4 linked regions of the Tamandua tetradactyla genome follow. The protein of the gene in region 2 purifies or fractionates together with the protein of the main gene of each other region. This does not show direct contact. Links are inferred from orthologs where the notes say so. Each region holds a gene or a part of one and is shown on either strand. Other genes may lie near its edges. The genes, in order: USP46, PHLPP1, WDR20 and USP12.

Evidence for each region.
Region 1: the proteins of PHLPP1 (region 2) and USP46 purify together in Homo sapiens (affinity purification with mass spectrometry; 7 studies listed by BioGRID and IntAct, counting the BioPlex papers as one, with this or other methods). This does not show direct contact. The link is inferred for Tamandua tetradactyla from reciprocal best matches to the Homo sapiens genes PHLPP1 and USP46.
Region 3: the proteins of PHLPP1 (region 2) and WDR20 purify together in Homo sapiens (affinity purification with mass spectrometry; 4 studies listed by BioGRID and IntAct, with this or other methods). This does not show direct contact. The link is inferred for Tamandua tetradactyla from reciprocal best matches to the Homo sapiens genes PHLPP1 and WDR20.
Region 4: the proteins of PHLPP1 (region 2) and USP12 purify together in Homo sapiens (affinity purification with mass spectrometry; 4 studies listed by BioGRID and IntAct, with this or other methods). This does not show direct contact. The link is inferred for Tamandua tetradactyla from reciprocal best matches to the Homo sapiens genes PHLPP1 and USP12.

What each region holds. Positions count from the first base shown.
Region 1 is NC_135345.1:52,904,431-52,911,509, forward strand, and holds the start of USP46 (ubiquitin carboxyl-terminal hydrolase 46), read right to left. Parts: upstream 3,010-7,079; 5' UTR 2,832-3,009; coding exon 2,796-2,831; intron 2,351-2,795; exon of another isoform or gene 260-2,350; coding exon of another isoform or gene 242-259; intron 1-241. UniProt on the Homo sapiens protein: Deubiquitinating enzyme that plays a role in behavior, possibly by regulating GABA action. May act by mediating the deubiquitination of GAD1/GAD67.
Region 2 is NC_135344.1:19,506,901-19,514,758, reverse strand, and holds the start of PHLPP1 (PH domain leucine-rich repeat-containing protein phosphatase 1), read left to right. Parts: upstream 1-4,858; 5' UTR 4,859-5,077; coding exon 5,078-6,662; intron 6,663-7,858. UniProt on the Homo sapiens protein: Protein phosphatase involved in regulation of Akt and PKC signaling.
Region 3 is NC_135338.1:63,627,504-63,635,419, reverse strand, and holds the start of WDR20 (WD repeat-containing protein 20), read right to left. Parts: upstream 3,005-7,916; 5' UTR 2,943-3,004; coding exon 2,694-2,942; intron 1-2,693. UniProt on the Homo sapiens protein: Regulator of deubiquitinating complexes. Activates deubiquitinating activity of complexes containing USP12. Anchors at the base of the ubiquitin-contacting loop of USP12 and remotely modulates the catalytic center of the enzyme.
Region 4 is NC_135330.1:192,409,160-192,416,405, reverse strand, and holds the start of USP12 (ubiquitin carboxyl-terminal hydrolase 12), read left to right. Parts: upstream 1-4,229; 5' UTR 4,230-4,317; coding exon 4,318-4,365; intron 4,366-4,460; exon of another isoform or gene 4,461-4,532; intron 4,533-5,432; exon of another isoform or gene 5,433-7,246. UniProt on the Homo sapiens protein: Deubiquitinating enzyme that plays various roles in the regulation of the immune response and inflammation.

The sequences.
Region 1 (7,079 bases), on a different chromosome or scaffold from region 2:
ATTAGGTGTTGGTTTGTTCAAGTCTCGCTCAGAATGGTAGCGTTTTTGAACACCCTTCCAGGATGCACATCAGCATGTTTAAAATACTCCAAATGACCTACTTAAAAGAAAATGCAATCTCCACTTGATTTTACTACAAGGATTCAAATTAGCTGGGACCAAATGAAATAAAGAATGGGGAGGGACATTAAGAGCCTCAAAAAGGTGCTAAACAGTAAGGAGAGACCCATAAAAGTCCTACCTGGAAACAATTCATCATGGAGTGAAGAACCTAAAGTGGGGTCCAATGAAAATTTACGTCTGATCAGGTGAAGGCAGCAGTCTCTTTACCAAGTTTTCTCCTCTGGTAAGTGAGACTGGGTGGGGCAGGAGTGACCTGAGCAGTGTTTGAAAAGGGGCGGAGTTAAGGATTCTCACCCAGCCCTTTCTCTAAGCTGCCTTTCAGCTTGGTTTGCATAAACCAAGCTGAAAGGTTGTTTGTATTAGTAGCTGCTTCCTTCAGAAAAGAAGACATAATCACTGTCCCTTAGATAATCAGAAGGCAAGATAATAATGAGGAAGATGACTTTGACAATAACAGCTAAACACTGAGCACTTGCTTTGTGTTAGGCCCTGTACCCACCCACCTCAAAAAAAAAAAAAAACTTATGTAATACAATAGTTCTATGAGGTAAGAATCATTATCATTCCCATTTTATAGATAAGGAAAGTAAGATAGAGAGTAACTTGTTCAAGGATACAAACCTACTATGTGTAGAAGCAGGACTTGAAGCAAGTCTGACTTCCGAGCCCAAACTGTTCATCACTTGGTGATGATCCTAAATTTGCTACCTTTTTACCTTCACATCAGATGTCAAGTCCCTGGACAAATTCTGAGCCTACAACAGTACCTGGCCTGCTGCTCCTCTTGTGTCCTCCCACAGCTTTCTCCCTGGCTGGGGCTTTCAGCCTTGAGCTTCACTGGAAGCAGGTTGTGACCTTCTGCCCAGGTCTGCCAAGAAGCCCCCAGCTGCACTAAGGACAAAAGAAAGAGCTAGAGGCTGCTGTCCTCTTGAGTCATGATAGCTTTCCAGTTTCCATCCTGCTTCAGTGCAGAGGTGTCACCCCAGCACAGGCAGAACAGGAACCACACCAAGGGCTGGGACTGTGCCTGACACCCCTGTAGGCCTGAGGCCACCCCAGCAAGCATGAAAGAAAGTATTCAACTGTTCTGGTTTCATGGTTCCCCTCAGGAGCTGGTTGTAGCAGAGAAAGAATTTGAGAGAAAGGCATCACCTTTTCACTACACCAAGTAACATTAAAGCCACTCAAAAAGGAGCAGGCCAGCTGTCTTCCCATGGGAAAGGAAGATAGAGCAAATGCAAAGGCTCCAGGAGCCACCCACTACATCTAACTCTCCCTGCATCAACACCTTTGCAGCCTCACTCTGGGAAGCCTGGCATCTGCTTCCAGGAATGGCCCTACAATGCTGAAAACTGAAGCGGCATCAGTGGGACTCAACTCCACCCCTGAGCTAACACACGGTTCCTTAATGCTCCTTTGCCATGTGTTTATCTTGCAACAGAATGTGAGACAGAAGATTAAAATGCTGTGTGATGGGGGGAGGGCAGCCAGATCACCTTTCCCCAAGGCTTCTCAACCAAGCACCTCAGATTCCCTTTAGGGACCTCTATTACTAGCTTCAAGGGAGGTTTTCCCAAAACTGGTTTAAAAAAGCATGTGTCCCAGCTCTGGAGGAGGGTGGAGGGAGAGGATTGGGGTCAGGGTTGGGTAGGGAAACCTCCATAGTGAAGGCAAAGCACACATCCTTCCTCCTGCAAAGGAAAGTGATGTCTCACTTCTAAGGGCAACCTGGGTTCCCCAAGGCTCCAACAAGTAGGGGCACCAGCAGAATGCACTCTGGGGACCTAAAGGCAGGAAGCAGTTCGTGCAGAAAATGAAAAGGAAGGGAAAGCAGTGGGAGGAACAAGTTGAAGTGGCCACTGCATCATGGACCCTGACTCCATCAGAGACCAAGTGATGTCCCCTTGCTGTGCCCATGCCCATCCACCTCCTCTACAGTGGAGCGCCACGACCACTGCCAGCCCCACCTTGAGGGCCTCCGAATATTACTGCCAGATAACCTTGTGCCTCTTTCAGAGATGGGGAAACTGGGATATCCACAGCAAACAACCTGGCTTTTCCCAATCAGGTAGAACTTCATTCCTCTCACCACAATTTTACACTTTTTTTTCTTTTTTACAGCTTTATTACATTTCGAATTTTTCCAGACACATGGATCGCCCTTGCAAAGTAAATGCACCGAAAATGAGAAGGGAGCGGTCAGAGAGCCTTGCAGGGCTTGATTTATATCGCAAGGAAAGGAGGGTGCCCCCTAACCCACCCCCACCTTATCCCCCAATCCCCTCCTCCGGGACGTCCAGGGTTCGGCCTCCCCTTTCCCCCCAAGCCGCTTCCACCGCAACCCGAGGGCGGGGAACGGCGGTGCCGGCCGGGGACACGCGGGCCCGCTCCCGGGTCCGGGGTTTGAGAGAGGGGCGCAGGGGGGGGGGGGGCTCGGGCCCCTCCCACGGCTGCTCCACCGGGCTGCAGCCGGCCCGCCCAGCTCCGGGGCCGACAACTTCCAGCCGCACGGTGGGGCGAACCCCTCCGGAGGCGGCCTGCGCTGCCGCCCCCTCGAACCCCAACCCCGCCGCCCACCCCTCCCCTTCGCGCAGGGCGTGTGTGCGGCTCGGGTTTCCCTTTCTTCGCCTCTCCGCGCCTCGGGCGCGACCCCCGAGGCGGCGACTACTCACCATATTACAGATGGAGGCGATGTTTCGGACAGTCATTAGTCTAAAGGTTGCAGCGATCCCGCACCGCCATCTTTATAAGGTGAAAACAGGAATGTCCATGGTGGAGCGGTCGCCGGGAGGACGGGGCGGCGGCGGCGAGCAGGCTTGGGGTCCGGCTTTCAGTTTGGCTGGGAGAGGGCGGCCGGGAGGGAGGAGGAGGAGGAGGCAGCCGGGAGGGCGGGGAAGGCGGGGAGGACGGGGGAGGGGGAGGGGGAGCGGAGGGGCGGGGAGTGGCGGAGCTGGGGAACCTGGGCCGAGGCCGGCGGCGCGGAGAGAGGGGCGGCCCGAGCGCGCCGCGTGGAGTCCGCGCCGGCTCCTCCGAGCACTCCAGCCGTGCGCCCTGCCCCGGGCCCGGCCCCAGCGCGGCCCCTGCGCGGCCGCTGCGCCTCCGCTCCTCCTTCCGTGGCCCGCCCGCCCCTGCCCCGCACCGCCGGGGCTCGCTCTTTTCCCCTTTATTTCCTGCTTCACTATTTGGGCAGTAATGCAGGACCAGGCCCTGCACCCCGGAGCAGACCCCGGCACGGCAGCAGCGGTCCCCTCGGTCCACCGCTGGGCCTTTGGCAACACTGAAAGATCAACTTCGGCCGGCGCCGCCGGGGAAGGAGGGACAGCGCCTGGCGTTCACGGGGTGGGCGGAAGGGGCCGAGCCTACGGCGGGCGCCGGCTCCGGCCTCCGCGGAAAGGGCCGCTAGGGACAAGGGGCGGTTTTCCGTGTTGGATTTTTCTGCTTTTCCTTTTCCTCCCTGCGCCGCTCCCCTTCCCCCACGCCATCAACCCTGGGGTTTTATTTTTGGCGCGGGGCAGGGTGACTATATCTAGCTTTTCGTTTCTTCCCTTGGTTCCGCCGCATGGTACCGGTGAGGACCCCAAAAGTAAAATGGGGTCAGGATCAGGGAGTGGTCAGAAATCCCTGGCCGGCAGCGAACCGGCAGCCTGGTAAAGGGCGCTGGGAGGGGACAGGAAAGTGAATCTGAGCAGAGGCCAGCAACGGTGCACTCAGCCAATTTGTGACATTAGCAGGTACAAAGGAAAAGTCCCGGTTCTGGGCAAGGACTGTCAAAGGAGCTATTTGAATCCGAAAAGTGCAAAAACAAAACTTTTTTCGCATTTCAAGAAAAACATACTCTCCCAGGGGCACCCAACTTTTTTATTTTTTAAGAGGGATGCTGTACCAGCGTATTATATTCATTTCCTCCATAGAGGTCGTGGCTACTGGCTCAAAGCGCGAATCTGTACACCCCTTAGCAGATACAGGTTTCGGTGAACTGAAGGAGCCTATTTCCATACAAAGCATGCTTTCAAAAAGAAGTTCTTGCATGTTAAACGCGTAATGAATTCTTAAACCAATAAATGTATTTAGTAAGTTAAGTTAGAAGAGGAATTATTATAATTGAAAAAAGCTTTTTATCTAACCAGGGTGCTAGGAAAATGCCACCCTTATCTTCCATTATCTATTTAGTGTTATGCACATAAGATTTGAAAGAAGATGATGTCTAATATCCCCAGGAACTAGGGTGGAAATAAAAGAAGATAAATTCATCTGCTGACTGAAATTTTGAGGGAACATAATTTTCAACGGATTTAAGGAAAAAAGTTACTGCTTATTTTATATCATTCTACCTTAATCTTGTTTCCAAATGGATCCTGAGAATGCCAATGGTTATAGTTAACTTTGCTTTTTTACTATTGTCAGTCACGGTGCTTTATATTCATGATCACCTTCATTGGCACAATAGCTATCAGGTGTTTGATGTCGATGCTATTATCTCTTTTTTGCAGGCGAGTGAATTAGACTTAGAGGATCAAGTATCCTACCCAGAGCTTATTACCCAAATTCCAGAAGAAGCTGGTGTGCTCATTTGGCTGAAGAAAATTGGAGGAGGAGGGGAAGACAAGCAAGACACTCAGACTATGGGCAATTGTGTAACTGATGTCCAGGATGTTTTAAAGCTCTGAGGAAAGTCATAAAACAAGTTCAGGAGCAACTTCAGGCTGAAACTCAGGCCTCAGTACTCAATTGCACAGATGTTCAACTATAAAGATGTTAATCCAAAGCCTTACATGATATGGAAAATGTATACCATCTTCTGACGTTGGCATGATGGATTTAGAGTTCACAGGATTGAAAACACTCATTGCTGAGTGCTATATTAGCAAGTTAAAAGTCTTTTTAACAGCCTAAGACTGAGGTGTTCAAATATGGACAAACATCCAGATTGAAATCAGGCAGTGAATTACATACACAACTAATAAGTTGCACACAGCAGATCTTGTCAGACTCATAAATAATAATACATTTTTACACTACTACAAGGTTGGTGTTCACAGGTTTAAATTTGAAGAGACTTGGGCTGAATAATCATCATGTCAGCTCTACTCAGTTGAGTAAACATTATTTGGAGGTGATAAGAGGTAAACTTTTGAAATGTTGACAAGCTAATGAGAGAACTTTGAGGAAAGTGTTCCTTACAGGGACCAGTAGAGTGAGGACTGAGAAAAGCAGGCAGATGGAGTGATGAGTTAAAGGCTTGCTTAAACAGCCTAAATAGGTTTGAAGGAAGAAATCTTTCCATCTCCTTGGTGTGCAAAGTGTGGTCCATCGGCTAACAAATCACCTGGGCACTTGTTAAAAATACAGACCCAGAGAGCATGTGTTCTCAGGCTGGGTCCTTTTGTAAAGGGTCCTAGATGGTAAGCTCTTGGAGCAGTCATATCTAGTCCAGAGTTGTAACTGTTATTTCTAAATTCTGAGATGCTGAGCTGTCTGTGTATAGCCTGGTCATTCCCTGGACCTTCAAGTATTTATATGACACATGAGATAGTGTTAGAGCTCTGAAGCTATGAAAGTCAGCAACTATTGAAAAAGTTGAAAAAGTGATCAGACTTCGGCTATGGGTATGAATGAAGCTGATCTGGATGGGACTAAGTTAAATCAGAATACAGAGTAAAGAATGATACTATTTTAAAACTTCAACTTTATGTGAAACCAAGGAAGGAATGTTTATTTGGTGCAAAATTTATATTTTGGGTTGTACAGTATCTAATTTAACTTGTAGGGTCAGTTTACTTTAACACCATAGTTACATGGAACCTTGAATAGGAAGTGAGATCTTCTTGTTTGTACAGGTTAGTGTGATACCCTACTACATTCCAGAGTAATTTGGGCAGAGAATAAAAAAGTATTTGCAAAGTCCCCTTGAGGGACTAGGGGAGAAAGGTGGAAATGCTAAGCTTTCCCAACTGGGGAATTCCTGATATTCTCACAAACACGGGACAATCAATTCAACATGCTGACCCCTCAGTCTTGGGGTTTGCCCTTATGAAACTTAGCGAAGAAGCTAAACCTACTTATGATTATGCGTAAGAGTTGCCCCCAGAGAACTTTTGTTGCTCAGATGTGGCCTCTCTCTCTAAACCAACTCAGTAGGTGAACGCACTGCCCTTAATCCTACATGGGACATGACTCCCAGGGGTGTAAATCTCCCTGGTAACATGGCATATGACTCTCAGGGATGAGCCAGGACCTGGCATCATGGGATTGTGAAAGCCTTGTTGACCAAAAGGGAGAAGAGAGAAATGAGACAAAATACAGTTTCAGTGGCTGAAAGATTTCAGAGAATGTGATAGACCAGAAATGGAATGACTTTTAAAAAGGAGAATTTATTAAGTTGCTAGTTTATAGTTCTAAGGCTGTGAAAGTGTCCAAATTAAAGCAAGGCTATAAAAATGTCTAATCTGAGCTATCAGGGAATGATACCATGGTTCAAGACCAATGACATTCATGGTTTCTTTCTCAACTGGAAAGGCACATGGCAAACATGGCAATGTCTGCTAACTCTCTCTCCAAGCTTCTGGTTTCTTGATGCTCCTCCAAGGGCATATTCCTTCATCTTCAAAGGTCTCTGGCTTCATGGGCACTAGTGGTTCTTGTGGCTCTTCTCTCTAGTGACTCTGATGCTTTCTCCAAAATGATTCCTCTTTCAAAGGATTCCAGTAAACCAATCAAGATCCACCTGGAATGGGTGGCATCACATCTCCCTCTAATCAAAGGTTAACCCCCACAATCTCCATAGAGATAATATAATCAACTTTTCCAACCTATAGTGCTGAATAGGGATTAAAATAAATGGTTGCTCCCACAAGATAGGTTCATGATTAAAACATGGCTGTTCTAGAGTACATAATCCTTTCAAGCCAGCACAGCAGCTAACTTTCATCTGGGATTCTATATCACATGGGAAGGCA
Region 2 (7,858 bases):
AAACAAGAACTAACTATACTGAAGAAGGAGATAGGTTGATTTTTACTGAAGATTTTTTTAAACAATGGTAATGCCTCCATATAAACTTCATTAGGAGAGGCATTTACGCCTGTACTGTTGACAGCTGGTGAACAGTGCCTGCACAAAAAAAGGTCAATAACCACTTGTCCAGAGAATGTCCCAGGTGACTTACATTGTTGTGGGTAAAGACCTCTATTTCCTGGCCTGAAACTTAATAGTTGTGATATATAGAACATCATTCTAATTCTTTGAGGCAGGATGTGAGAATTAAGAAAAAGACCAAGAATTATGGGATAAAAAAGGGTGCCCTAATATCTGAAACACTATTGAGTGTATCAAGTGGACTACCTAAGATGATAGTGGCAAATTAAACTCTTTTTTATAGAGTTCAAATTATAAATTTTATGAGCAAGGGATAAGATTTTGGAGAGACCAGAAGACCTGCAGTCTTCATCCTGCAGGTCAGCAGTGGACATATTAATTCAGTTGGGCCACCTGAGGCCCATCTGCACTAGAGCAGTAATTGAATAAATGGGCCCCTCATGGTAAGAAAGGATGAGTAAAGAGTGAGCAATTTAGGCATGGGACACTAGTAGCTCAAGGGATATAAAAATATGAAATTATAATTAGATCTCTTGTTCATAATATACTAACTAAAAGTATTACATTGTATGGTACACGTTTCTGAGTTTATTTCTGGACACTGCGGAGCCCTTTACAACTGACTAAAACCGTCCAGCTATCAATTCATGTTCCCATTAAAATTCCAACTGCTTATATTAGAAGAAAATAAATCCAAAGATGGTTTACTTTTATTTTAGATCTAAAGATGCACACTGGGACTAGCCTAGATGCAGAATACAGCAAGTCATTTATAAATCACACAGCGTAAAGTAAACAGTGGCAGCAAATTGAAAATTATGTTTTCTTTTTCTAAACATAACTGTGAAAATATTTTAACAAGTTGGCATCGGAGTTTGCAACTTTTATCTGATGTTTCTCTTCAGGATTATCTTGAAGCATTTTAAAATGTGATGTTTGGGAAAGTTCAGCTAGTCAGAAATGTGGTATTAGATTATACATTTGGAACACTTTACAGGAGGCATTCGTGACGTACATGGTTTCAGAACGCTGGCATATTTTCTACTGTATTTAATAGGAGAAGCTGCTATTCCAAGATATTTGCCCTTTAATGAAGTCTTTCTCCTACTCAGAAAAATTGTGTAGTGTGAGTTGGCATATTTGGTCCAGTTAATGTTTGATGATACGAGCACCCTCTAAGTACACGTTTCATTATCATTATCATTTCTGTTATTTTTACAAGGTTCCAGCTAATCTGGTGTTAAGGGGACTGTCTTCCCTTTCGGAATCTCCTTTCATCCCAACGTTCATAACTTTATTGCAACTTTATCGAAGGATTGGGGGTGACATGAGAGAGGAATCATCCCATGAACCCTTGCCCTTCTGCTCTCCACTCCACTCGGATGTTTATTATCCTGGGTTCAATGGAATCTTTCAGGTCACAGACTCAGCATGAAATTGAGTAAAATCGTACTCTCCATTCCTTCACGTTCCCACCCCCCCACTTTTTTTTTTTCCTAAGGGGGAATGCATTTCCTTTTTCTTCATACTGAGATATATTTCCTTTAACCCCAATTTAGTAATCCCTCATACTAAGTTTCTATTGTCTAGGAGTGTATGACTCTCCCAACGCCTCCCTCTCCAATATTTTGAGTTGAGTTCTTTGAGAAATGTTTTTTACTTTCATTTTTTCCGCCTCCACCCCCTTGGAAGGAGGTGCTATGATTAGAAATGCTTTCAAAGGGTAAACGAAATTCCTAGAGTATAAAAAGGCAGAGTTGTGGTGACTGTGTAAAGCTAAATGAAAAGAACCAGAGCTAAAATAAGTAAAATACTACAATTTCTTAGAGCAGATGCTAATGGACATTGGGCCAAGGATGGCAGAATTTATTATTAGAAGAAACTTTTATAGAGCTTGTTAATTAGCTATAGAAATATAACCTAGAAAGTAGATACTATTAGTTAATGACATTTCTTAATATAGGAAAAATTAAAGAGGTTTGTAAGAAATCAACTAAGGAAATAAATATAAACAGAAGATGTAAAGAGTTTGTTTTAGTATGGAAATTTAACATGAGCTTTGTTTGAAAATTTTATTAGTGGATGGCTAAATTGAAATACTAATCTCAATTTCTAGGAAAAATTGTCTTGGGGATATGTAAGACAAAGTATAGATTAGTGTAGTTGAAATTTATCTTCACTCTCCTTCTTTCTCTTTACCTCTTTTCCTTCGTTCAAAGACTGATCCTTCAACAAGTACTCAACTTTTATTCATTCCAGAAAACTTCCTCCAAAATTAGGTCTCCATTTTCTGACTCCCTAGACTAGGTGAGTTCCCCTCTTTTATTTGCATTTCTATGGAACCTTGTATTTTCCCTTCCCCACAACCATCTCAATAATGGAAGGTCTTTCTTTCTAACCTGTAAACAATATGAGGAAAGGGAAAATGCCTGATTTATTCAATGGGTGTAATATAGTGACTGGTACCCAATATATGTGTATAATTGCTAAATTAATTGACCTGAATATTTTTTCTCTGTTGGGAGAATTTGTGTTCTTCCTAATTTTTAAAAACAACTCAGTGCTGTTAACTGGATTTAAATGGAATAAAAATGAGGTTCATGAGTCCAAGGGATGACTTTAAAAATATATATATAGTGGGTGGGCCATGGTGGCTCAGCAGGCAAGAACGCTTACCTGGAATGCCAGAGGACGTGGGTTCAATTCCTGGTGCCTGCCCATGTATAAAATATATATATAGGAAGTCATTTTCAGGAATTTTAAGAATCATTAAGAGAAATATTTATTTTTAGTTATGGTAACTTCGTCCATTTTTCTTTAATGAAACCATGTGGATGAGTTAAGCACAACTTACCTTGCTCTTATCAGTTTCTATTATTTCAATAAGCTTCAGTTGTTCTCTCTCTCTCTCTCTCTCTCTCTCTCTCTCTCTCTCTCCCTCCTCATCCCAAAGTTTAAAGTTTTGAAAGTTAAGGCCGACCCTGGATAGACCTTAGTTGAAAATTTATCAGAAGTTTCATGTGAAAATCCACACTTATAAAACAATCTGGGGGAACGGCAATTCAATTAAAAAGGTTTGGTTTGCTAAATTCTTTTAAATAGTAACCTGCCCTAGTTCACCTTAAATATACATACATATATATATATTTAAATCCTGGGAACACACATTAATAGTTTCTAAAAAAGCCTGCAGATAAGGATTTCATCTAAATAACTGCTGACAATTGGAGCTATTTATGCCAGGTAGGAAATGTGAGGACACTTAAAGGGAGGAATCTTGAGGGCACTAAGGGCAGAAATGCCAGGCTTGCATTTTAGACCATGGCAAAATTTTAAGTGTTGAAAGGTTTTTTCATTCTTTGAATCTTTATTTTCACTAGACCCCTTTAGGATCTGCGTCCAATTGATGTCACATGTACCTGAGCCTGTCTGTCCATCTGTGACTGATAATGAGACACGTTTCTCTCTAAATGCTTGGCAGCTTTGTCAGGATATTCCGCGCATTTGTATTTCACCAAACTGGGTCACACACCACCTTGGAATGTATAGTGGTGCCACTATCTGGAAAACCACCTGCTGACTAGCGGCCAACTTCAAGATGTGACAGAACGGAAAGACTAATATTTTCTGGACACACTGAAATATTTGAGGACACGGTTGAAAACATGTAGAACTTCTGAACCTTCCAAAGTAGGGGCGCATCACAATATTGTTTTAACTGACTAGAAAATGCAGCTACTGCTACATTGTAGAGAAAATATATTTTTTCTCAATGCTGAAATAAAAAAACCCAGGGAAAATATAATAGAGAAAGCACGAAACAGCCCATATTACATCTCACCGTATCTCTCCTCCAACTTCTCTTCTCCTTTTCGCTGCTTTCCGTGCTATTAAGCTACTTCAAATTTCAAGACCAAAGGGAAAACACTCAGATACAGGAGAGGGAAAAGATGGGCTCACGGTCGCGCGATTCCCCCCAAGCACATTAACAACTGTCCAAATTAGGAAAGGGGGTTTGTAAGAGTGAGAACAGCGCGAGGTTGTCGCCGTAGATGGCCAGTTATCCTGTGGCGCGAGGGTCTGTATTGGTATCTACTCATACAATGCCTGGAGGTGAGGACCAGGGACCAAGCTTAGCGTCCCTCAAAACCCTCACTTTCAATTAGCAGGGAAAAGAGAAGTCATATGACGAGCGCCCGATAAAGTACAGTTTATGCACCGCCAAGACAAGCGTTGCACCCGTCCGGAGCTCAACACAAGAGGGCACGATACGCACAGTCCACAGGCAGCGGCCGGCGGCCCGGAGCGGCGGGACCTAAGGCTCGCTGGGGCTTGTAGTGCGGCAGGCTACCGTCGCGCACGCCCGCCAGAGCCGAGGAACTACTACTCCCGAGATGGACCGCGCGCCTCTGGCCTCCCGCCCGCTCGGGGACCTCGGGGAACACTGCCCCCGCCCCGCGCTCGCGTCACTTTTGTTTACCCTGAAGCCCCGCCCCCCACCCCCCTCAGGCTCTCCCCACTCGGCGGGGGAATGCCGTAATGCCCGCAATGCATATTCAGGAGGCCGTCGCGGAGCGCCCTCCCCGTCTGTCTCGCGCCTTCCCTCTCCCCGCGCGTGATTAATATTCAATGAGCCTCGGCGCGCGCTGATTCGCCCGGGTGGGGCGGGGGCGGGGCCGGGCTCGAGAGCCCGCGGCCCCCGCGGGGAGGGCACGCGTGGGGGGGCGGGGCGGTGGCGGCGAGGAGGGCGAGCGGGCGCGCGGGCGCGCGGGATGGAACACCGAGACACCGACGGAATGCTCCGAATTGCCACATAATTCCCTGGAACGGCCGCTCCGAACGCCATTGGCTTCTCCCCTCTCCCCGCGCCGCCGCCGCCGCCCACCTTCGCCTCACCTCCTCCCTCCCCGCCCGCTGCCTCCGGAGCTGGGGGGAAACGCAGCGCCCCACTGCAATGGAGCCCGCCGCCGCGGCCACGGCGCAGCGACTCCCCGAACCCGGCAGGGAGGACAGAGCTCCGGCGGCGGCGGCAACGGCAGCAGCGGCGGCGGCAGCGGCGGCGGCGGCGGCGGCGGCAGCGGCGGCGGCGGCGGCAGCTCTGGCGGCGGCGGCTGGGGGCGGCCGGAGCCCGGAGCCCATGCTGACCCCGGCGGCGCGGAGCGGCGGGAACGGCGGCAGCGGGGCGCGGACAGAGGCCCCCGCTGAGGCGCCGCCGGGGTCGCTGCCCGGCAGAGCTGGAGGCACGAGTCGCAGGAGGAGACGCGGGGCACCCCAGAACCCCGCCGGCGGGGCTGCCCCTGTGCCCGGAGCCGGCGGCGGCGCCAACTCCCTGCTGCTGAGGAGAGGGCGGCTGAAGAGGAATCTGTCCTCGGCCGCTGCCGCCGCGCACTCCCCCGGCGCCGCCGGCCTCGCCGCCTCCTGCTCGGCCTCGGCATCGCTGTGCACCCGGAGCCTGGACAGGAAGACGCTGCTCCTGAAGCACCGGCAGATGATGCAGCTGCAGCCGTCGGACCGGGACTGGGTGAGGCAGCAGCTCCAGCGCGGCTGCGTGCACGTCTTCGAGCGCCACATGGCTTCCACCTACCTGCGCCCGGTGCTCTGCACGCTGGACACCACGGCCGGGGAGGTGGCCGCCCGCCTGCTCCAGCTGGGCCACAAGGGTGGAGGCGGCTTGGTCAAGGTGCTGGGCAGGGGGCCCAGCACTGCCGCCACCCCTGGCCCGGACGCTGGGCCCCTGCCGCTGCGGACCGAGCCGCGGGACTGGGCGCCGCCGCCTGGGAGCAGCTGGCTGGGTGCCGTCGGGGGCCGGCCGCGCTCGCCTCCCGCGGACCTGCCGCTGCCCGGAGGCCCGGGCGGGTGGATGGGCTGCACTGTCCGCGCTGGCCCGGCGCCCTCCGACTCCAGCCCCGGCGACCGGCTCGCGGGGGGCCCTGCTCCCCCTCCCAGCGCCCCCCGGCTTCCGGACGGCGCGGCCGCGGGCCCGGCCTCCGACACCGAGAGCTTCAGCTTGAGTCCCAGCGCCGAGAGCGTGTCGGACCGGCTGGACCCCTACGGCAGCGGCGGTGGCTCCTCGTCGTCGTCGTCGGAGCTCGAGGCAGACCCAACCCCAGCCCCGACGGGGTCTTCGGACCAGTCCCACCTCTCCAGCCACTCCCCAGAGCTGTGCGGCGACCCCCGCGTCCTGCAGCTGTCTCCCGCGGCCTCACCGCCTGCGTCGCGGCCCAAAGCTCCGAAGGGCGTCGACTGTCCGGGTGGTGCAGCCCGCGATGGGCCGCGGGAGGAAAGGGCGGCGGCGGCCGCATCCATCCGCAGTACCTCGTCGACCCCCGGGGAGAACGCGGCGGCCGCGGAGAAGGAGGCTCCACCACCCACCCTGTACGTGCAGCTCCATGGAGAGACCACCCGGCGCCTGGAGGCGGACGAGAAGCCATTGCAGATCCAAAATGACTACCTCTTCCAGCTGGGGTTTGGGGAGCTGTGGAGGGTACAGGAGGAAGGCATGGACTCGGAGATTGGCTGCCTTATCCGCTTCTATGCAGGTAAGGCGCTCACCTGCACTTTGACGTGTGGGGTGTGCACATTTCATGTACCAAGAAATGATTGAAAATTGACATATACTTGCCCAACCCAAGAATAAATGCAGGTCCTCGTGATGCTTTGTTACTCCTTCAAAACTTGCGCGTGCCATCTGCGCAATGCCAAGTTGAGCAGTTTTTTAACCCGTGAATTTTAGTCAGTCTTGAGGGTCAGAGGTTGGAAAGTAATGTGGAGGGGGTGGCAGAATCTCCAGGAAGTACAGGAAGCAGGCAATAGTACTTTTAATAAGTGCTTCCTTCAGGCCTCTGGTCATAGGCATACTGGGTCTGAGGTAGTTTGGCATTACAGATAAACATCAAGTGCACATAATATGGACAGAGAAAATGTTCAACAAAATGCTCTAAAGCACCTCTGCACGCTTTTGTTCACAGTTTACTATTCTAGCTCTAAGTATATATACCAGCAGCAGCAGCTCCGTCCTTGTCACCTGATGCACCTGTTCAGCTCGCTGTTGTGCTTATTTGTTCAGAGTCACAAATACGATCCTTTTTGGTGATACTTGTCAATTTTTGGTTTTCTTTCCGTTTCCTCTGTAAGGTTGATTCTTGCATCAAAATAATGTTACCTGTTTTCTTCCCTAATTTATTTCTTCCGCCATTTATAAAGAGAAGTGGACATTGCGCTATGACTTGCAACACAGATCACAATAAGAAATTAAATGGTTCATGATCTCTTCAGATATGATCTAAAATCTTCCCCATTCTTTTTGCAATCCCAGATCAAATTCTTGACCAAGGATGACTAATGAAATGTTTCTCTTTTTGCTAAATACTTGGATGATGCTACATTAGGGGAGTTCTAGGTCCTGATTGTTGTATTTGAACTTTATATGTTGTTTGCATCCTATCCCTCCTCTGGATTGAAGAATTATGCTCTTAGTGAAAAGGGTTTTTATTTAAAATAGAGTTAAAATCATGGCAAAATTAAAACAGGAGAGAGTTAAATCTTCCCTGCTTTATTATTCTAGAGTGTCGGTGATGGTGGGAAAATAATCATATTTGTAACTATTACTATGTGGCCATATTTTCAAATGTAATGTTTTGTGGTCCACCTTGTGTCCTTGTGGCAGTTTAGTCAGTTTGAATGATATACCAGTAGCATTCCTGTTGGGAAGTTCATCTAAGTTTAATTGAGGTTT
Region 3 (7,916 bases), on a different chromosome or scaffold from region 2:
AGGGAAACATAGAGCCGTGTTCCAGTAGCCATGTTTCTTGAAGATGACTGTATGATAAAGCTTTCTCAACGTGACTGTGTGATTGTGAAAACCTTGTGTCTGTTGCTCCTTTTATCTACTTTATTGACAGATGAGTAAAACATAGATTAAAAATAAATAATAGGGAGAACAAATGTTAAAATAAATTTAGTAGATTGAAATGCTAGTGATCAATGAAAGGGAGGGGCAAGGGGTATGGTATGTATGAATATTTTTCTGTTTTCTTTTTATTTCTTTTTCTGAATTGATGCAAATGTTCTAAGAAATGATCATGATGATGAATATACAACTATGTGATAAAAAAGAATATTCATATTGTATGTTGATTGGTTTTATTAATAAAAATTTTTTTTTTAATGAAAAAAAAAACCCAAAATTTACAACTCCTAACACTAAAAAATAACTCTTGTTTTTTTTAAGGATAAGTTATTTGCTCTGTTTTAAAATCAGAAAATAAAAAGAAAATCACAAAAACAATCATTTACACTAAAAAATAACTGAATGCAAAGTCATTCATGGAAAACAAAAACAAAACAAAATTACAACACCTAGGAGAGAACTGAAATGTCCACTACTTACTGCAAATATATTTAAAAGACAACGCCACATGAAAATGAAATTTTACAAAAATGAAGTTAAAATGCTCAAATAAATTATGCAGGTAAAGGTAATTTAAATGCTTAGGAGTTGTCATAAGATCTTTTTCTGGGGGGATATTGTTTTGAAAAGCTCTTAGTTTTACCCTTCAGGGAATAAAGTGTCCCACTAAAAGAGAACACTGTTCTAACCATACTTTCAGGCAAGAGCCCTGTTTTATGATGCAAACCAGGACTAATATTCACATAAGGCTTGCCATTAGAATGCCTCAAAAACAAAAAATATATATAAAAAGATAAAGTTTTAAAAGAAAATGTTTTAAAAGGGTAATGCCTATATTAGTGATTGCTATTGCTAGTGAATTTAAGTTTTTAAGCACTTTGCATATAAATATAAATTTTATATAAATAAATTTTAATAACTTAAAATCTAAACATATTTCCAAAGAAAACAGGCCTAATGCGAATGTCAAGATGGCAGCCTCCTGTTTGACAGTTACTCTAAATGCTTATTTTAACTATATTTTGCATCTACTAAGTATTTCAGGGCTTTAAAGTTCATCACAATTATTATATTATCAATTACAACATATACACTTCCACATGCTCCTTTCAAAAAGGAGAAGATAGACGTTAAATAACTTGTCCAATAAGTCAGTTACAAAGTAGGGACTAAGACTAAAATTTCATCTCCAAGACTACTAAACACTTCACCCCCTTCCCAATTCCCAAAGGGGAAAAAAGGTCAAATGATTTATTTCCTGTAACTACCAATGGCATACTCTAAACACAATAATACACTTATTATGACAAACGACAAACGCTAACAAAGAAGATTCACCTTGAAAAGAACGAGAAAACTTGATACATTTAGTTAACATTGTCACTTCCCTAGTTCTCATAACCAAATAAAAATTCTGTACTGGATCTGGAAATACTGAATCCTAAAGAATGTTCAGTCTTCAATATGCACCAAATATTTTCATTCTAACCGAACACTTGTAAATTAATCTTGTATCACCTTTTCTCAAACCGAGGTACTGTGGAGTGCATTAATTTCCTCACTCTTCCGAGTCAAATCGGAGACCATAATCTCAAAAGTAAGCAGTTCTCAGTGAGAACACAGTTGTATATCTAATGCGGGCGGGGGGGGGGGGTGAGGGGACTAGCTCTAATGAACTGCTGCTTTTAAAGAGATATTTTAAAGGATGGTTACATGCTTCACAGAATTACTGTTAAATTACCCGCCAAGAAGGGTAGTTCCTGTCAAGTAGCTTTTAAGCCATATCCCTCCCTGTTTGGGACATAGTCTGACTTGTTGGACAAGATTAATCTGAGCACGCTCACACAGAACCCCTGTGAACCAGTTTACTTGGTTGGAAACATCATTTCGATCTCCCAACTGTAAAATAATCCTCTTTAATAATCTCTCAGAAAAAGGCTTCCTCGGAGGAGACAATGACAGCCTCCTCCATCAGATGTTTTTGGAAATAGATGTGTTAAAACCACAAGGAGAGGCTCTGAGGAAGTGTCAGTGCGGCAGCAGGTGGAGTAGCCCTTCGTGCCGAGCAGGTCCTTTCTGACCTAGTCTCAGTCTCCGGTTCCCAATCCCAACTCCGCCTTACAGAGCTTCCTAAGCAGCCCGGAGCCCGTTCCCTAAACCAGAGCAAGACTCCCAGACCTCCGGGCAGGCGAGATGGTCTGGGCTAATAAGACGGCCACCCTACCTCTTCCGGGGACTCGCAGGCCGCTCACTGGCCATGTCAGAGCCTGACTGACCTGCTGGAGGGAGGCAGCTCTTTCCTCTGAGGCCTCCCAGCCGGAACCCCACATCCCACGGACGCTATCCACCTCCCCGAACCCTTCGAAACGCTACCATCACTACCCTCCTTACTCATGAATCCCCTTTCCTCAGAAACACCCCAGTGGAGTTACCGGCCCACTCAAAAGTAAGAGCGAAGGCTACCCCTGTCGGTCACCCTGGCCCCCGCTGTCACTGCCTTGTTCCCGGCCTCTGCCCACGCCGCAGGCGAGCCCCGGCGACGCCCGGGTCGGTACCTTGCGGACCCCCTTGTAGATATAGAAGTAGAGCTCCCGGCCCACATTGAAGCAGAGGCGGTCGCCGTTGCCAGACTGGTCGTTGAGGTTTACGAAGGAGACGCGGACAGGATTGGATCCCTGCGAGTTGAAGGGCACCCGGTTGGGGCGGCTGTACTCCGAGTGCGGCAGCAGCTTGTACAGACCTTCCCGGGTGGTGAATTGAGTCTTAATCTCGTTCATCTCCTTCCCTCCTCCCTCCGTCGCCATCTTGGAAAGCAGCGTTCATCCTGCCCTAAGTGCCCGGATCACGCCCACCGCGCAGGCGCCGTCCCTGGCTCTCGCTCTTCCCCACCCCCCACCCCCCGCCTCTTCCGTCTAGCCCCTCCCACCCGCGAGCAGCCCCGCGGAGCCGCGCGGAAGGAAAGGGGTGGTCTTGCTTACCACCCGACTGCGCAGGCGTGCTCACCTGGCGCGCTGTGCGCGAAGACTCAGGTGGGGGACGGTTTCGATCCGCTGACCCGCAAAGAGCTCCTCTGCGTTCGGAGAGAGCCGTCAAGGGGAAGCAGCGACCGGGGTGGGGTCAGGAGTACTGAGGTGAACTTGGGGGAGCCTCCTCAGCTGCGGCCGGCGTTGGCGTGAGGGGGCCCCAACGCTGGGAGGGCGCTGCTGCGCCCCTCCTGGACCCGCCCTCGGCTGCCCGGGGACGGTCCAGCCCGCGGGGGGCTGAGCCGGACCCGCATGTCTATCCCGAGGTCTGGGCACCTCCTAGAGTCGGTCCTAGAAGGTACCGAAGGACTAGAGCTTCATGCTTCACCATCTTTTTGGGAGGGTGGGGTGGGGTATAAATACATATGGCATAGGTGTTTGCAGGTCAAGCATTGAATTCCTTTCTGCAGTGAGCAGTGGCTAATTTTAAGGAGAATAGTTCGTGTTGGCGTTTCTGGTTCTTAACTGAAGTTTGTCTTCACCAGTAGTTGTTCAGAGAAAACTGGGGGGCGGGAAATGGCTTTGGGCACCAGAGGCTGAATCTTTGCAGGATTCACTTATGCTCAATAGTTGATTAAGAGCTCTTAATTAAAAAAAGAAGTCACTGAATTATTTTTAAGGCCTTAAGTGAAAATACTAGGAGATCCATAGGTATAGTTGTATGCATAAACTAGATCTAGTTATGCAGGAACTTGCATGGGTGTTAAATTAAGGTTAAACAATCACCATTTTATACCTGGATTTCTTGGAATGTTGCAGTAGAATAAGAAAGGTTCTAAGTGACAGAAATAATCTGATATAATTCCTGGAGGAAAAAAGCCAACATTGATTACACCAAGAATGAACTGTTTCTTCAAGTTCAAATCCTAGCTAGAGGGTCACAAAAGAAACTGAGGAAGGTAAATTCTAAAGTGAGGGTGCCTAAATCATAAATATCTTATGTATTACAAAACAAGTGAAAAGTAAAAACTGCCAATGATCTCATAATGAATTTGACACTAACATCCTGCACCTTTGAGCATGTTGGCAAAAAAGCACTAGACTAAAATCTATTTACTTAATAAATCCCTAAAATATGTAAAAAATTTTGTTACAGTTGTTTTCATGGCATCTGCCTTTCTCTAAAAGTCAAATAGATATCAGAAATCTTTTAAAATACCAGGGTATGTTCTATGATACCATGGATTTAACCCAATCTGCTATAATTGTGTTTTACATCAAAATTTTGTATTTTTAATGATCACCTTGAAGAACTAGTGACATCCTCAGTCATGTATAACCAATTCACCTGTATTCCCTAGTTATCAAGAGAAGGAAAAAGGTATATATATTAAAAGTATAACAATGCTTTTGGGGGGTGTGCTGGTTTGAACGGATGTTTTAATCTAAATCCCATTTCATAAAGGCAGAATAATCCCTATTCAATACTGTATGTTTGAAACTGTAATCAGATCATCTCCCTGGAGATGTGATTTAATCAAGAGTGGTTGTTAAACTGGATTGGGTGATGACATGTCTCCACCCATTTGGGCGGATCTTGATAATTTTCTGGAGTCCTATAAAAGAGGAAACATTTTGGAGAATGAAAGAGATTCGGAGAGAGCAGAGAATGCTGCAGCACCACGAAGCAGAGAGTCCACGATCCAGCAACCTTTGGAGATGAAAAAGGAAAATGCCTCCCGGGGAGCTTCATGAAACCGGAAGCCAGGAGAGAAGAAGCTAGCAGATGAAGCTGTGTTTACCATGTGTCCTTCCAGATGAGAGAGGAACCCTGACCCTGTTCACCATGTGCCTTTCCAGATGAGAGAGAGCTCTGACTGTGCTTGCCATGTGCCCTTCCACTTGAGAGAGAAACCCTGAACTTCATCGGCCTTTTTGAACAAGGTATCTTTCCCTGGATGCCTTAGATTGGACATTTCTATAGACTTGTTTTAATTGGGACATTAGCTACTAATTAAATTCCCCTTTTTAAAAGCCGTTCTGTTTCTGGTAAATGTATTCCAGCAGCTAGCAAACTAGAACGGGGGGGGGGGGGGGGGGGGGACGACTCAGCAAGCAGCAGCTTGAACGCAAATTTTTTATTAGCCTTAGATTAACCAGAACATTCAATTACATAAAAGACCTATAGACCTTAAGCATTCTATTACTGTTTTATTCAGCATATAAATTCAAATAATATTAATATGTTGTCCTATCTGGAATTTTTTTTTTTAATGCTGTATGGTGGGGGTGACATTTCGTTATTTTTCCATGTGACTGTCCTGTTATTACAGCACCATTTGTTGATTTTTTTTTTGGAGAGGGGGATAGTGCACAGCTGGGAATTGAGCATGGGTCTTCTGCATGGCAGGCAAGAATTCTGCAACTGAACTACTCTTATACCATCCTCCCCCAATTGAAGCATTTGAATAATCTGAGTACTTCTCTCTTATATTTTCTTTTCCCAACTCCCAAGGATTCAGTATAACTAGGCCTAATGTAGTTATATAGTTCTGAATTTCATTTACAAACCAGGCATTTCTAAATGAATTTGTGCCTCAAACTGATCAGTCTGTAAATCTTATCAGTTCCCTTTCCATTTCCTCAAACTTGAATCTAATGGTTTCCTGAATTATTTCCTTAGTTTCAGTTTTCCTCCTATAAACAACTATGAAATTAATTTTTAAAAGCACTGCTTTTTCTTAAAACACTGCTTTAAACAAAGTCCAAAAACTTTCAGTGACTTGGCAGTATCCACAGGATTTAAGTATCCACCCGCAATCTCAGCCTACCCCTTATTTACCACATAAATCCTCATTACTGTCAATCTGTAAACAGCTAAAAGCTGTCACTCTTAACTATTTCACTTCTTCATAGGCTGTTCTTCGAGAACTAGTTTATGGCCCATCCTCACCAAACCTTTCCCAAAGTCTTCTTGGTGATATAATATACTGTACTTTAAACCAAGGATTCTCAATTCAGGATCCATGGCTGTTTCCAGGAAGTGTTTTAAACCTTTAATTGTATTCAAAATTATATGTATATGTTCACTTAATCAACAGAGTATAGCTTTCATCGGATTTTCAGAGTTAAAAATCTCGCCCTAAAGTTAAGAATCACCGGGCTAAATTTCTATGACATTTCTCTGAGTTTTTGATTGTCAATTATATAATATGCTGACTACCATTCTAATGTTCTTTTGGTGTTTATTAGCATATGCTAATATATTATGTTGATATTTGTCTTTGAATGCATATACCCAACCTATCAGCCAGATTGTGAGCACACTCAAGGATAAGAGAAACCTTGTTAAAATTTTTCATATCCTCAAACATTTATTTAAGAGCCTCCAATATGCTACAATGTTCTAGCCTTTGGGATGCATCAATAAATAAAAAAATTCCTTTACTTATGGAGATTGTTCTTGCAGGGGATAACAGGAGACTGAGGAATATATAAATAAATAAATATATATATATATAGTAAATATAAATATATAGGTTAGTGCTAGGAAAAAGAAGTAGAGCAGTGTAAGGGGCATTAGGAGTGTGCTGAGTAGTTTGCAATTTTAAATATGGTGGTCAAAATAAGCCTCACTGAAACTGTAACCCTTCACCAAAGACCTGAAAGAGGCAAAGGAATGGGCCTTGGGAAGAGCTGGGAAAAGAGCAGATCAAGCAAAAGCCTCCAAGGCAGGAGAGTGCCAAGAATGTTCAAGGAATAGCAAGGTCTTTGAGGCTGGCCTCTAGCCTAGTAAGAGACTAACTGCAATGATCCAGGCCAAAGGTAATTGATGGTGGTTTGGATAGGTATGGTAGCAATTGAGATTGAGAGTTTAAGAAAATCCTTGATAAATTCAGAAAGTAAAACCAGTAAGATTTTCCAGCAGATTGGATGTGGCTTGTAAGAGAAATGGAGGAGTCAAGAACGACTCCATGGTAGGCATAGGCAATTGGAGGATGAAGATATCACTAATCGAGAGGGGGGAGTCTGGAAAGGAGCAAGTTTTGAAAGGAGGATCAGGAGTTCAACTTTGAAAATGTTGGTATGGATGTCTATTAGGCATTCAGAGAAAATGGCCAGGAGGCAGTTGAATGATCAAGTCTGGAGAGAGATCTGAGTGGCCGATGTATATTTGACAGTCATCAGCACATAGATGGTATTTAAAACTTTGGTCCCCCTCTTTTGTTGCTTAGATGTGGCCTCTCTCTCCAGCCAACACAACAAGCAATCTCACTACCCTCCCCCTCTGCGTGAGACATGACTCCCGGGGGTGTGGGCCTTCCTGGCAACATGGGACAGAAATCCTAGAATGAGCTGAGACTCAGCATCAAGGAATTGAGAAAACCTTCTCAACCAAAAAGGGGAAGAGTGAAATGAGACTACGTGTCAATGGCTGAGAGATTCCAAACAGAGTCGAGAGGTTATCCTGGAGGTTACTCTTACACATTAAGTAGATATCACCTTGTTATTCAAGATGTAGTGGAGAGGCTGGAGGGAACTGCCTGAAAATGTAGAGCTGTGTTCCAGTAGCCATGTTTCTTGATGGTGACTGAATAATGATACAGCTTTCACAATGTGACTGTGTGATTGTGAAAACCTTGTGTCTGATGCTCCTTTTCAACAGATGAGTAGAATATATGGAATAAAAATAAATAATAGGGGGATCAAATGTTAAAATAAATTTAGTTTGAAATGCTAGTGATCAGTGAAAGCGAGGGGTAAGGGGTATGGTAGGTATAATTTTTATTTCTGTTTTCGTTTTATTTTTTCTAT
Region 4 (7,246 bases), on a different chromosome or scaffold from region 2:
AGTCACACAATTAGCACTTTTCTACTTTAGAGTTGTTTGGGTATAGTGTCTTCTTTTTTCAACTAGGTGGTGAGGTTTTTGAATACAAGAACTTTTGTCCTAAGGTTCTACCACAAAGCTTGTAGGGTAGGAGGAGCCCAACAGATATTTATTGAAGGAGTAAATGCAATTCCGATACAAATTTCTGAGTAATAAGAGATCAGAGGGATCATGCTTATGCTAAAGGACACAGTGTGTCCCCACATTACTACTCTATCCCACTCCTTCTCTACACAGAAGAAAAGAGTGGGTGGCGCAAGCAGTTGGAAAGGAGTCCCCTTCTCCAGCCAAGCTCAGCCACTTTTGAACAGGATCAAAACAGTTGAAATGATTGTGTTATCCTCACCAGCGTGTTGTTAGTCTCCTCTAGTGGGACCCACATTAACGAGGACCCAAGTACACAGAGAAAGTATTCTGGCTTACTTTATACTCAGCAGGAAGCAGGCTGTCTCCTATTGCAGACCTGTTATTATTTTGATGTCTCCTTGAAATTTGCTTATTCTTGGAAATTTGCTCATTCTCCTTGAAATCTGCAGGACTGGGATTCCATATGGACTGTCGTGTGGAGCAGGTTTTAAGGTAGGCTGATTCTGCCACTTATTATGGATGGGTATGACGGCAGAAGTCCCAGAGAGGGTCACTGTGGGTTGGATTGTCCCCTGGACATTTCGTACTCTTCTCCACAAACCCCCTGCAACACGCCCCATAGATACCTTCCACAGGTTTCGGGGCTTTCCCTCTGCCTAGAAAACCACCAGCCTTCCCCATCCCTCCCCATTGCTCAACCTAATCTTCTAGATTGTGAAGCACCCCCCACCCCCAGCTCACCCCTCCTGGGGGAAGAGCTGAACACACTCTCTTGGAGCTGATACCACTTGGTCCTTCATTCTCTCATCTCGTTTACCGTAATAGTCATCTGCCTATGCCAATGGACTTTGTGCTTCCTGAGGGCAGAGACTTCTCTAATGCACTATTAGATGATCAATAAATGTTTATTGTAAATTATGAGCACACATTTCAGTTTTTTTAAAAACATTTTTTTTGTGTGAAATATAACATATATAAAAAAACAATAAATGTCAAAGTACATTGTAACAAGTAATGATAGAACAGATTTCAGACTTTGGTATGGGTTACTGTACCACAATTTTAGGTTTTTCCTTCTATGTGCTCCAAGACTTTGGAGACTAAAATATCGATAAAATAATTCAGCAGTCATACTCATCTGTTAAATGCTATCTTCTCTGTTATAATTCCTCCTTCTCCTTTGATCTTTCTCCCAATCTTTAGGGGTATTTGGACTATGCCCATTCTAACGTTTTCATGTTGGAAAGGGTTGTCGACAATATGGGATAGGGGGATGGAATTAGTTGATGTTCTAGAGAGGCTGGGCCCCCTGCGTTTCAAGACTTATCTGTCCTAGGAACCCATCTGGAGGTTGTAGGTTTCTGGAAAGTAATCCTAGTGCATGGAACTTTTGTAGAATCTCAGAAAGAGCCATAGGGGTTCTTTAGGGTTGGTAGGGATGGTGTTGGTTGGGGTTTGGCAAACTATGGCAGTTAGCAGTATCTAGCTGACACTTGCATAATAGTAGCCTCCAGAATAGCCTCTTGACTCTATTTAAAGAATATCATCTAATTTCTAAACCTCTGAGAGTAAATTGTAAACATCATACCCCACAACTACCCTACTCAATACTTTCATGTATATTTCCTAAGAAGAAGTATAGACCATCACTGGGATTTTTTTTTTTTTTTTTTTTGGACATCCTCTGCTTGGAGACCTGGGAGTATTAATCAATACCACTAGGAAAGGTCAATTCATTCCCTGTCTAGAGGCAGGGTAGAGGAGGGGAGACACCTGGATTTTAGATCCAGGGCAAATGGGTGTGGAGAGGGCAGGAGTGCATAAAGGTTTTCAAATGAAAAACTTTGAAATAAAAGCACTGACCAAACAGATTAAGGTTGGCCTTGGTTTGTTCACTTACTTGACCCAGGAGGTATTTGGGGGGTATTTTAATGCTTGTACATTCAGGCAGGCCCAGAAATGGTACAATGAGGCTCTTGGTGAAGCTCAGACAGTTGCAGGTAAAACGTGTTCCACACCCAGTATACTCCTTGCATGCTCTGGGTGCAAGAGTGTGGGGTTCCAGGCAAGTCTTATCCCCAGCTGCATCACACATAATGGAAAATGCTCAGGCACAGCACCAGGCAAAGAAAGGGCTCTCTTCTTATATTTGAGTCTTTCTACTCAGCCTTAAGCTGGGGCGACAAGACATGTTTGTCCTGTCTGTGAATTCAGATGGCTCTCTACTGGACACGACTCCACATGATGCCATCAGAAATCCATTAAGTAGGCCTCGCTATCCTATAAATGTATGCATAGAGCTGGATTGAGTGGCCTCTGTTCCTGTCACGTTGTAGGTTTCAAGGACAAGGAGGCATGGTGGTGGGCGACATCGAAGGAGGAGGAGGTCAAATTCTGGCACATTCGATCTGCTCACTGGGACAAAACAGCAGGTGGAAGGACAGGATGTATAACAGACATTTTACCAAGATGGACAGGGCCCAGCGGCGTGGAAGACGAGGCCCAGGCAGGCCCCTAGGGTCTACGATGTGATGACTCTTGTCCAAACAGTGAGTAGCATAAAGCAAGAAAGAAACCAAGTGGGCGCTGCTTGCGAGTCTAGGCAGGGAAGCTACACACCTGTAAGTATGACCATAAGAAATGGACCTAGCTGCTGGCTTGGTGTCAGGGCAGACAGCCAGGGCCACGGCTTCCATGGAGAACCAGGCTGGCTACTATGGGACATGGCTATATTCAAGCTAATTTCCCCTACACAAGCTTATAATGGGAATCACTATGGAAACAGCACTCATGTAACAGAAATTTATTTCTCACCTACGTTGTGTGTGAATGCTATGTTTTGGTTTGAAATGCTTTTAGCCTATGAGGTGAGGCATACCAGATATTAGAGCTTTGTCTGAATTCCCCCCAGCCCGGCTGAAATGGAAGTTCCCCATCACCACGGATTGCCACTTGAAAAGTACCACAACCTTTCTAATACAATAATTTATAAAGTTCTCACTCGAAGTACTTTCTCATAAAGGAAGACACACAGCTGAGCTGTCTGACTTGAAGCACAGGTGCGACGGTAAATTTTATAAAAATAGTGAAGAGGAAATATCCCACCAGCTAACTGCTGCTTTAGGGCATCTCTCACTCGTGGGATCTAACTTCTGGTTTGGTCGCATCATCTCACTGCTGGGTTGAGGTCTTTCCTTTTATACAGGCCCTGTTGTCTAGTGTAAATATATTTAGATACTGTATTTATAAACACATTTTAAAGGCCAGCCGACAGGCAGAAAGCCAGGGTCCCTTATTACTCATCTTTTCTCTTTCTCTCTGTATTTTTCTTTGCCTTTCATTTTTATTAATTTACTAAAGTTACAGTACTTTCATCCAGATAATTATTCAATAATAAAATAAAACACCCCACAAAAAACCAAATCCCTTGCATTTTGGTATGTGCATGGGATGCTGTATTACTCGGGTTGTCTTGAAAGAAGGGGGTCTCCTCTCACCCCACCCGGAATGGTCGGATCATCGCCTCCGGTTTCGGCAGTGGTGGCTAGCTGGCTTGAGCCCTGGGGACAGGGCTGCGGGTCATGCCCCTTCAGGGTTGACCCTGGTCGCCCCCCGCTCACCCAGCCGCGCCGCGCCGCGCGCACCCCTTGCTGCCACTCTTCTCGGACCGCTGATGGCGGTCTCTAGGACCACGCGGGAAGCGGGGACAGGAGGCGGTGCCCGCCGCCACCCCGTCCCCAGCCGCGCGCGGAGTGAGGCGGACCCGGGAGTCCCGGCTCTAACGCTCTGGGACGGGGGAGGTGGGGCCTCGGCGGGGGGCGGGGCGCGCGCGGGGCGGGCCGGGAGGGAGCGCGGGCCGCGCGGCTGTGGACCGCCGGGCATTAGGGCCGGGGCGGAGCCCGCTCGCCGGGCGCGCAGGGTGGGGTGTGCGGCGGCGGCTTCTCGGGCAGGCGTGGGCCCCGAGGCAGCGGCTGCGCCCTGCGCGGGTGAGAAGCCGGGGCCGGAGGCCGAGGCCGGGAGAGCCCGAGCGCCTGCGGCGGCGGCGGCGGCCCTTCGGCGGCAGAGAGGGCTCGGTCCGGGGGCGCGCGGCGACGGCTCGGGCCCGCCGGGCCTGCGGCGAGAGCGAGCGGCCGGGCTCCCTCCTCCCGCGCCCGCCGCCGCTGTGATTGGGTGGAAGATGGCGCTGGGCGAATGGAAATCCTAATGACAGTCTCCAAATTCGCCTCCATCTGTACCATGGTAGGTGCGGCGCGCGGCGCGGGGGCGGCCCGCGGGGCCTAGTGGCGGGGGTGGCGCGGCCCCGCGGGGCTGTTGGCCCGCGCGGGGCCGGGGGGCTCGCGGCCTCGAGCCGGGGAGAGGAGGGCGCCGGGCGTTGCCGGGGGGCCGAGGCGAGCCGGCCGAGGCGGGTGGGCGGCTGCGGGCTTTCGCCCCCGGCTGGCGTGCGGGAGTCGGGCGGGGACCGGGCGGGAGTCTGGTGGGAGGCGGGTGGGGGGCGCGGGCCCGGGCGGGGGTCGGCGGGGGGACGCGGCGCCAACGGCTCGGTCTCCATTTTAGAGTGGCCGCGCGCGGAGCGGGAACTGTCCCCGGGGCGGGGGGGGCTCCGCCGGCAGGAAGGAGGGTCTCGCGGGGACGGGCAGAGGCTCGGAGTCCTGCCGGGGCGGCGGACGGAAGCCTAGTGCCCACTTCCTCGCCGGGCGGAGTCCTCCGACCCGGCTCTTGGGGGGCAGGGGGTGTGTGAAGGTGGAAACTTTAAATAAGTGCTGCGGACATCTTTGGATTTTCCACTCAGTGTGAGAGCGATGAGCTCTCACGCTCCCAGCCATGTGTCCAGGTGGCGGGCTTGTCCCCTGGAATCCACGCCAATCGTGAAAAGCAGGGTTCGCTTTCCTGTCATTTGTTTAATACACCAGACACATCTGTGTGTGTGTGGCTTGAAGTATTTCTGTGCAGAGACGTCACCGCAAGCGTATTGTATTTGTTTTGTTAGGGCTTTCAGATAGGCTTTAAGGGAGAACCGCTAATGTCCGTTTTAAGTCCCTAATTAAGCAAAAATGTGGGTGTGTTTAAAACTTGGCGTTTTTATGTTTGGCCACCAGGACTACGGTTTCCACATAATGGGACAGAATTTGTGTGATGAGCTCCTTATGAGTTACATCTAGGGATCATAATTCTGAGTCATCCCCGAAAGAAGTTAATTCTTTGTAAAGTGGGCCTAAAGTGGTTATATTATTGAAAATTTCTGAAATCTTTCCTTCTGTTTCAAGTCTCACTAGCCTTTTTTTTTTTATGTGCCTCATTGCATATAGGAAATCCCCAAGCAATCTTCGGATCCAAGGGTGGTTAGTTTTATATATCTTGCTTTAAGGAGTGGAGAATGGGATCGGGAAAAATCTTTAAAAGAAGATTCTAGATTTACTGCACGCTGAGAAACAGTTTTTAAAAATGACTGAAATTAGGTGGACTTAAAATCAACAGAATTAAAGAAATCGTATTGAAGGATGAATCATTGAAGAGTCCATTTACCTAAACGGATGTTTGTATTCTCTCACAATGCACATTTTAGAAAAGCGTTGATATTAAAGAGACTATGTTAAAACAATTTTTGCAGATCTCTTGGGCTAATTATTTTTAGATATGCCAAATGTTATCTTAGTTTCAAAAGGAAGGTGATAATTAAGTCTTTTAAAGTGATAACCTTGCTGTATTGCTGAGCTACACACTTTGTCGGGTCATAGTTCATTGTTAAGGTCTAGGGTTTTGGGAACAGAGGGTGTGTTACTTTATACTGACTAGTCTTCATTCAGTCAAATACAGAATATATTGGGCACCTCCTAAGGGTTAGGCATTGTGCTGAGTGGGTGGGCTACGGCAGCCATAAAGCCCAAGTCCCTGCTTTCCTGGTGCTTATATTCCAGTTCAGGGAGACCAACAGTCTTCAGGTGATCATATTAAAGTAATATATGCTGTAATAAGATTAGGAAAAGGAGGCACAGGGATTTGCCAGCGTCCTGCAGTAAGTGGTATTCTCATCTCTGGAATGTCAGACACTAAAGTGCTTTCTAGGGCTTCCGCCCAGGTCCATTAATTGGAGTGGTGTGTGTGTGTGTGTGTGTTGTTGGCAGATACAGAGACATCTGTTCATGGCCAAATGAGATTGTTCCAAAGTAGTATTGCAGTTGGGTGGGTCTGTATTCGTATCTGATGTGCTCCCGAAATAAAGTGCTAAGTATCTTGAAATAATCTGCAGTCATATTCTTAGTCTACAGAAAACTGCAGTCAATCTTCTGAAAAATACAGCATTGACAGTTGAGATGAGTAAGGATATTTTTCTCTTTTCTTCCCTGTCCTAGTCTGGCTGGGTCCTCGTCTCTTAAGCAGGTGTCCTTGCCCAGCCCCACTCTCTAGCCCCCTCTTACATAATTTCAGAGCATTTTTGTAATCTCAGTAACACTTATCATACTTACTGGTTGTATGTATTTCTTGTCTCCCTGTTAGATTGTGGGACCTGAGGCCAAGGATTATCATTTATTTCTCTCTCCTCAGTATCCAGGCCACTTTGATCTAGAGCACTAACCTCTGCGTACAATAAAAAAAGTTTCCCAGAGTGCATCCTTTCTCCCACCCAAACCTGGGGAAAGGGAGTTTGGTTAAGCACCGGAGAGATGGTGGTGATGGGGGCCAATGTGGAGCCCCTGGGAGGCGAAGGGCTGAACCTAAGGAGGGCACTTCTTGGAAAATTAGCAGCTGTGAAAATAGTAGGATGAATTGGAATTTTATTCTATAAATACCAAAGTATATGTAATTTCTTCTTGGGCAAAGCTGTAATACTGAAATTGGGTTAACTCTGTTAGAAGAAATCTCAGTTATGCCTTATTCTAGGTCACTGTTCTGCATTTACACGTGGACATGAGGCACCTTTGTTTTTCTGAAGTTAGTACTATATAGCTTGATCTAAAGGAATGATTTTTATTTTGATTGCAGTGAATTTGCAAAAGTACCTTTAGAAATGTCTTTTTTTTTAGATTTGTCCACGAAATAATCCATTTGCAGCATCACGTGGTGTTCATTTTGCCTCTGAGGCAGCTTCTGATTTCAGGGTCTGGCATGGAGCGGCCACCTA